Mus musculus: one gene and its partner. The protein of the gene in region 1 interacts with the protein of each later gene in a biochemical or structural test. Links are inferred from orthologs where the notes say so. Each region holds a gene or a part of one and is shown in the gene's direction. Other genes may lie near its edges. The genes, in order: Abcc4 and Mpp1.

Region 1 (3,815 bases):
AGGAAGGAAGGAAGGAAGGAAAGAAGGAAGGGAGAAAGGAAGGAAGGAAGGCAGGCAGGCTGGCCATCCCATCTCTTGGCATTGACATGGCATGGGTTTGGGTCTAGGACCCCCAAGGATAGCAAGGTTTGAGGGAGTTCAAGTTTATATAAATGCATCATGTGTGCAGATAACCTGGGTACTTCTGTATATTTCACGGCCTCCCTAGATTACTTATAATTTGCAATACAACATAAATACTGTATCGACACTTGATACATGGAATTACTGGGGAATAGAGGCCAAGAAAAGTGTCCATGCATGTTCGGTACAGACAACTATTTCCCCCTCCGAATCCTTTTCAGTTTGTGAGAGCAGAACCCATACATGCTGTGTCTGACTACACTTGCAGCTGTCTTCGCTGCCCACATCCCCAGTCTCCACACCTTGGATGATCCCGGCATAAATGGATGTGTTATCCTCCCTCTCTTGTAGATGTTTCCACTCGGCTGCTCCGCTTGGCTAGCAGTTTGAGCCATTCGGTCATTCTTGGTGTCTTCGGTGTTGCCTTTGAGCTTACAGCCTTTTGTGGGTTAAGTGTGCGCCCTACCGCCGATCTGTTCTCCCACGCTGGCCTGCTTTCCTGCTGCATTGCCTGCAGTCACCATTCGGAGGCTTTTGTGCTTCCCTTTCGCTTACAGCCCCTCTTACCTTCCGCAGGCAGAGAACACGCAGGCAGTGCAACCCGAGGAGAGCCGTTCGGAAGGGAGAATCGGCTTCAAGGCCTACAAGAATTACTTCTCGGCGGGCGCATCCTGGTTCTTCATCATTTTCCTTGTGCTGCTTAACATGGTGGGCCAGGTACATCATGACACCTGTGCCCTCTCAGGATATTCACACATGGGTTTACAGTGGGGTGTGCTGTGTGGCAGGGAGCAGCCAGAGTGTTGCTAACCGCAGTCGAGAATTGTATAGAAGAAAAAAAGTGGGGTTACCTTGTAAGAGCTTAGAGGTAACACCTTGTCTGGGAAGTTGGCCTTGGCACAGCCTGAGCCAGCTGACCATCCTAATGAACGCTCTGGGACCCTCCTCTCCGTCCCACGTCTTCAGCCATTTTGAGTTTCGAGTTTGGAAGTCACGCAAGTCTTGCCAACGCTGTGTCTCGCTTCCCTCCGCAGGTTTTCTATGTTCTTCAGGACTGGTGGCTTTCCCACTGGTAAGTTCTTCTGGTCAGAATTAAAGGCTCTACGATCTATAGGTAGTAGCTTCATTTTCCCATAGGTTTTAGGAAGAGGTGGGATCTGTTAGGCCTTCTATTCTAACCTTCGTCCCTTGAAGAGGAAAAGTGACGGCTTGCTGGTGGGGTGTGACCCACACCACTCTTTATCCATATCTGGTCACCACCTGCACCTTGAGAACTGAACGTCAGGGGTCAAAGTTTGAAGGGCAGCCGCAGAAAGCGTTGTGTGAGCTGAGAATTGCTTTCTGGCACAAGGCCTTTCTCCTAAGCTTAGGTTCCTTTTGTTTTTACCTAAATCCATACCTTAGTAATTTTTTTCCCTCCCATGTTCCACCCATAGGGCGAACAAGCAAGGTGCACTGAACAACACCAGAAATGCGAATGGAAATATAACGGAGACCCTAGACCTCAGCTGGTACTTAGGAATTTACGCAGGTAACGTTTAGCCATTTGATCTGTTATCTGAGGGCCTGAGGTGCTTACGATGGGCCTGTGTGAGTAACCAGAGCTCCTAGGAGTAATTCAGTAATGTCTTAGCAGATTAGGAGACTCCGTCGCATTTACTCTGTGAATTAATTAGAATAATTTTTTTTTTTAAATCTACCCGGAGAAAGAGGTTGAATGAAGACTCTTAATTTGCTCTGTACTGGATTTTGAAAGTTAAACTAGGATTGAGCGTTCAGAAAACCAACCACTGGAAATATGTGACTATTGTCTATTCTAATAGGTCGCTTTAGCTAAATCTTATATCATTATATGAATGGGCAGGGGGATTAGAAACGGATCCCCACCCTGTGGCTTGGATTGTTCCAATTCTGACTGAATAAGCCCAGGCCTTTATTGAACTTGGATGGAATCCTCTGGCAGCAAGGCCCCCCAAATAAAATCATTATCCCCTCACAGGTATGCAAAGCTCCCTACAGCACACTGCTCATCTCTCGGGCTTCACTAATTACCGAAGAGGGAAGCTAAGCAGGGAGAGGCCCAGTGTGCAGGAATTAAAACTCCTTCTCTTTCCTACCTTGAGACCAACAATGTTATCACGTCTCCGACTGTGTGATTCATTTAACATTTGGTTTGCCCGACTAATATTAACACCCCACTCTGTTTTCACAAGAGTGCTTGGAAAAAGTATAGAGTTAGTTTTCAAAAGAAAATCCTCATCTAAAATTTCAAGTGTTCCCACGGGAGACAGGCTTTCCTTGGCTTGCACGAATTACCGCTGTTAGAAGCCATTCACCCAGGTTTAGAACTTACTTTGTTGACGTCTCCCTAAGAAACCTAAATCCACTGACTGGTTACCGTCCCTACCGGCAGACTGTGCGAACCCTAAAGGGAAATAGATCCATTATCTATTCAAGTAGCCTGGGCGGCCAAGGAAAACGCAGCTGTATGGAGTTTTAGAATTAAGTAGCTCCAGGGGTTAATGCTGCTTCATTAGAAGGCAACATGTTTACCACATCAGCTCTTCCCGGTCTTTGTAGCAGTGTGAGCTACAAGCTAATGGAAACTAGGGAAGCAGAGTTAGGGGGTAGCTCAGGATAGAATGCTTGCCTCCTGTGTGTAGCATGACACAGCACACCATGCCTCTCCACTTCCTATCCGTGCAGAATGGTTCAAGAATGCCTTAATGCAACACAGAGTTTGAACACTGCTCATTTAAACTGTGATATGTTTCCATGAGACATGCATTGAGTGACTAGTTTACTATTTAGTTATCTTATGTTAAAACATGATTTGTATGTTCTCACAATTCAACCGTTTCAAAGTTTTCCTGTGTGTAAGCCAATGTGATATTTTCAAATTCTTTAAAGCCACTCAGGGGGTTTACTACAAGGAGGGTTTACCGGTCTGACCCTCTTCCCGGGGAGCACCACATGATGGTATCAGAACCCACCACAGTGCTAGATTGGGGGACTTGTAAATACCAGCTGGGATATGCAGGCAGAAATCTTTCCTCTGAGTGCTTAGTAGGACATGCAATTTGTTTTTAAAGCCTGTAGTTTATACTTTATCTGCACATAGGTATTTTCTATTCAGTAAGAAAAAAAACCACTTAGTTTTTGTCAGTGTGTCTCATAAATGTGCATCGTCTTTATGTAGAACCTAGATGTTTATGGGGAAGATCAGAGATATTTTTATAAACTGTCGGGTTGTAGAAGGAAGTGTGTCATTTCCTCAGGATCCTGGCTTTCCTTTATTTCAGGTCTAACTGCGGTCACCGTCCTTTTTGGCATAGCGAGATCCCTACTGGTGTTCTATATCCTTGTGAACGCTTCCCAGACTTTGCACAACAGGATGTTTGAGTCCATACTGAAGGCTCCCGTGTTGTTCTTCGACAGAAATCCAATCGGTAAGTCAGCCGCCGAGCTCCCCAGTAAATGTGTCTTGTTAAGGCGTGTACTCACGCAACGAGGGTCTGATGGCATTCTGGTCTTTGAGAAAGGAGGAAGTCCCTCTGCGTGTCTGCCCATTCTCTACAGTAAGCTTCCCCAATACTTCTCTCCTCCAATAGCAAATCTACATATCAGCTGCATGGACTTATCTCGGTGTGTGTGTGTGGGGGGGGGCACAGCACACGGGCACTCAGTTTGCA
Region 2 (4,314 bases), on another chromosome or scaffold:
ACATTTTCCTTAAAAATATATACTCTCCAACATCCATATATTTAAGTGGAATAAAATATTCTGATTTTTTAAAGTTCTTTTTCTTATTTACTTATTATTAGTTTTGTTTTGAGACAAGGTCTTATGTATTCTAGGTTGCCCTCAAACTTACTGAGTGACTGAGAATGACTTTGAACTTCTGATCCTATTAACTCCACCTCCAAAATGCTAAGATTATAGGCACGCACTATCATGAATAGTGTGTGCATTACTGAGAGTTGAACCCAGGGATTTTGCATGCTAGCTAAGCAGTCCGCCAACTGAGGTTCATCTTCATTGTGTATCACATAAACCAAGGTTCCAATTTCATCCTTTCCAGTTCCACTGTCAGTTAATGAAAGGCCTTATTTACTCACCTAGCTGTTTTTATTATTGAGTACCTTTGTATATGGGCACAGAGGTGTTACATAGTTGATTATTCTGTAACATTGCTCAGTGTATTCTCTTCCTCTGTACCAAGATCTCCTCCTTTGCCCTTCTCTCCTCCCCTTTTCTCTTCTCTTCTCTTTTCTTCTCCTCTCTCTCCACCTAAAAGTAATTCTTCTAGGGACGGGGGAGAGTGTAAGCTATCAATCATACAAGCTCTGAATTTTAGGACAGGATTCCCAAGGAGCCTTTAAACCCAGTAAACATTCATTTTGTTTAGAAAGTCTTTCATTAGTCTCCAGACCATTTGGAAGTTTAGGGCGTTTACTCCAATTCTTGAAGATTATTTGTTCCATTTGCTTCTGTTGATTCCTAGAAATTGTGTGGCATTAACAACAGGAGATCTGGCCTAAGGTAAATAAAACCAGTTTGCTCTTGAGGGCAGTCCCATCTTTCCTCGCTGAATAGCATATACCAATGTAAATGATGGTACCAGCAGCACACTTTTACAAGTCTAAACCTGGAAAGGTGCATTGGCCTTGGGACCAATTTAAGAGCCCCTACATTCTTCAGGGTAGCTGGTTGATTCCTGATGTCAGGAGCAATCTGGATGTAAAGTTCACTCAGCTAGTTGCAACTCGTGGTTGGTAAAAGAGCTGCAGTTGCAGTAGTTGGACATTTTGGGATCCGCTTCGGTAGTTCACAGGTCGTGCGAGTAAGAGAGAGAATGGAAGCTCCTGTCTCGGAATTTTATCTTTTCAGGGATGCTGGCTGCGCATCTCGACAGGGCCCGCAGAGGCGTGGTTAGAGCGGAGCTTTCAAGCAACGCTAAACTGCGCCTTCTCCAATCGCTAAGCACAAGGAAGGCCAAGGCGTGGGTGGGCTTAGGGGCGGGCCAGGGTGGAGAGTAGGCGGAGCGTGGGTACTGCTCTGCTTGGCCCTCCTGGCTCTCAGCGCAGCTCTTGATCCCTGCCTCCTCCGCCGCCTTAGTCTAGCTCGTCTCTGAACAGGCCGCAGTTCCCCGATTTGCGATTCCTGGGCTCAAAGCTCTGCGGCTACTGCGTCTGGTTGTCTCTGCTCCTGAGAGATGACGCTCAAGTCGAGCGAAGGCGAGGGAGGGAACAGCATGCGCACCGCACTTTCGGACCTCTACCTGGAGCACTTACTACAGAAGCGTAACCGACCTGAGGTTAGCGGGACCCCTGGGGTCCTCTGGGTTCGGGTTGGGTCTAGGATCCAGGCCTTTCCATCTGCTGCTGGATTTTTCCTATCCATGGCCTTGTTCCCAAGCGCTCTGTCCCCGGATGGCCAGATCTTGGGTGTCTTGCCCCCAGGGTGGAGGCCTTAGCACTGGGCCCGATTCCTGCTGAGATCTGGGTGTGGTGGATAGTTGCCTGGAGCAGCCCTCCTAGGTGAAAATCCCGAGAGGCAGGCCAGGACTAAATGAATACTTAAGGTCAAAGAAAACTTGCTCATGGATGGAAGTCTACTAACAGACTTGAAGAAGGAAAATAAGACTTTAAGGAACACATCCAATAGTAGATCTGCCTGGCTGTTATTGAGCGTTTGTGTTGTTTCACAGACATGGTTGTGAAAACCAACTTCGTGCTCTAAAAAGCTCACACATTTCCCTCTGCATTTCATTTCAGGGGGTCTCCTTGTGCTATGCTGTAAACTAAGGTAGCATTCATATTCCAGTGTTAGACAGTAAATAGTTATTAATCTAATATGTCAGGCCTCCAGAGGTGGTTGTGATTAGATTCTATGTAACATGTCTCCCCCTCCCCATTCACCTACGGACCCTGCTCCCTCTGCTCCCCAGTCCCTTCTCCTGGGAGATTTATGATGCTGCTTGTGATACAGCGAAGATGGCTTTGTGATAGGAAGGTACAGCTATTAAACAACATACATTACTTACACAAAATGTTCAAAGATGATACTAGATGAAACTGAGGAAATAAATCCAAAAACCTTTACAGGAATGGTAGCTATTATGTGTTTTGATCACTTTTTTTTTTTTGATAAAGGGAAAAAAAGAAAAAGTGAAGAATTAATACGAGAAAAAAATCCATATTATGACAGTTGTATTCTGGTTCCTCAATTCTGGAGCTCTGTTTCCTTTTCCCTATCTCTGGTGTCATTTCCCCTCCCCAAGCTAGTTTTGGAAGTATGGTTATTTAATCTTGCCTTTCTATGCTCCACACCCAAAGTCCTCTTTTAGTAACACTGACAGAGCAACTCACTGCTTAGGGGAAGAAACTGTGCACCAATTAAATGTCAGCAAATTTTATCTCTCTTGCTGGCAAGTAGGAGGACATTTTGCTTTTTTTGTTTATCTGTTTGTTTCTTGCTTTGAGACGCTGTCTCACACTAGCTCAGGTTACCTTGTAGCTTACTCAGTTGCCCCAACTGGCCTTGAATTCCTTGCAATTCTCCTGCCTCAGCCTCCTGAGTTTATAGGCACTATATGGGCTAACATGTCAGACTTCAGGACATTTTTAGTGTCACAACTAGATGGATTTATTTTTTACAGCAAGAAATTATCAGACCTCCCTCCAAAGTGTCATGACTGCTGAAGGAAACATCTATTCCTGATGTTCTAGTTCAGTGTCTTATTTAAGGTGAGCAAATAAAGTGCAAAGAACAAAACTTAATGTGATAAAAATTCTAATCTACTTAAGCCACTGTGGCCACAATAAAACCAAATTCCTATCTGTAAGGTATCTAGGTCTTTCTGGTTTTGAAAAATAAAATCATAGATATCCTAGAAGTGAAGGACAGAATATGAAGAAGACTAACAGACTATACTAGGTACTGAGAAAACTGGGGCAAAGACTAAATAATTTGAAAATAGTACTTTTTGTTTTTTTAGTTTAAATTCTCTGAAAACACAGACCTTGAATGGAAATATCCTCTTCAAATGATACAGCCAAACCTAAGAAGGAGTCTTTTTCTCTGGTAGAATGATAATCAGGAGCAGACTCACTGACCATGCTCCCTACTGATTCAACCAAGACTTGTTTTCTGCTATTGTACATGGCATTGAACCTTGGTGTCTCTGCACAGGCTGTCCTGTTTGCCCTTTAACTCCTAGATTCTACAAAGTGCAGGCTTCAGCAATGCTGGCCACTCCACAGTGCTTCACCCCCTACACCTCCTTCAGAGGAAACATCTGCAGCACAGTTCAAAGGGCAGAGACAGTTTCTCAAAGGAAGTTGAAATAAAAAAATAGATTGAAAAAATTGGCAGGGGTGGGGGCAGGGGTAGTGGGGGTGAATAGAGCAGGGGCAACTATAGTTGACTTTCTCATTTAAACCAATTGGCTTCAGAACAAAATGACAGTGAACTACTGAGCACAGGAATGAACAAACATTTGTTCAGCCTACTGTTAGGCTCATTGCCAACTGCTTCCACATGGTGAACTTAGAATGCCTAGTCCAAGGAAATGAATGACTCTAAATACAGAAGAGCTGGGAGTTCCTTACTATCACCTGCCAGCCTTGTGTAGCCCCTGACTGAATCACAAGTACCCACTCTTCACATGCACATCTGTTTCACTTTGTGAGTGGGAAAAAGTACAACAAAAAAGTTAGAAAAGTCATGAGAAAACCAACAATTCCCCAGGGAAGTATAGAGATTAGAACTATTTAACTATAAATGATAAGAACTGGAGAGACAGGAGGGCTCAAGAATCAGAATTTTTCTGGCAGGTATTGTCTTAAAATCATATATTAACTAGAGCTTTATTTGCCAGGCACTAAATACATCTCTCAATCCAAAGGCCACATGGTTAAAGGTCTTTGGCTGATGTGCTTTATCTGTATAGTACACTCTGGATGCACACACAGGCTTCTAACAACTGAAACTCAAGCAGCTCCATTTTTCATTTTTTCTGAATAGAAAGTAATC

What was found.
Region 2: the proteins of Abcc4 (region 1) and Mpp1 form a complex in vitro, tested with the Homo sapiens proteins (2 studies listed by BioGRID and IntAct, with this or other methods). The link is inferred for Mus musculus from reciprocal best matches to the Homo sapiens genes ABCC4 and MPP1.

The regions. Positions count from the first base shown.
Region 1 is NC_000080.6:118,594,519-118,598,333, reverse strand, and holds part of Abcc4 (multidrug resistance-associated protein 4), read left to right. Parts: intron 1-699; coding exon 700-840; intron 841-1,157; coding exon 1,158-1,195; intron 1,196-1,559; coding exon 1,560-1,654; intron 1,655-3,425; coding exon 3,426-3,572; intron 3,573-3,815. UniProt on the Homo sapiens protein: ATP-dependent transporter of the ATP-binding cassette (ABC) family that actively extrudes physiological compounds and xenobiotics from cells.
Region 2 is NC_000086.7:75,128,005-75,132,318, reverse strand, and holds the start of Mpp1 (55 kDa erythrocyte membrane protein), read left to right. Parts: upstream 1-1,302; 5' UTR 1,303-1,492; coding exon 1,493-1,594; intron 1,595-4,314. UniProt on the Homo sapiens protein: Essential regulator of neutrophil polarity. Regulates neutrophil polarization by regulating AKT1 phosphorylation through a mechanism that is independent of PIK3CG activity.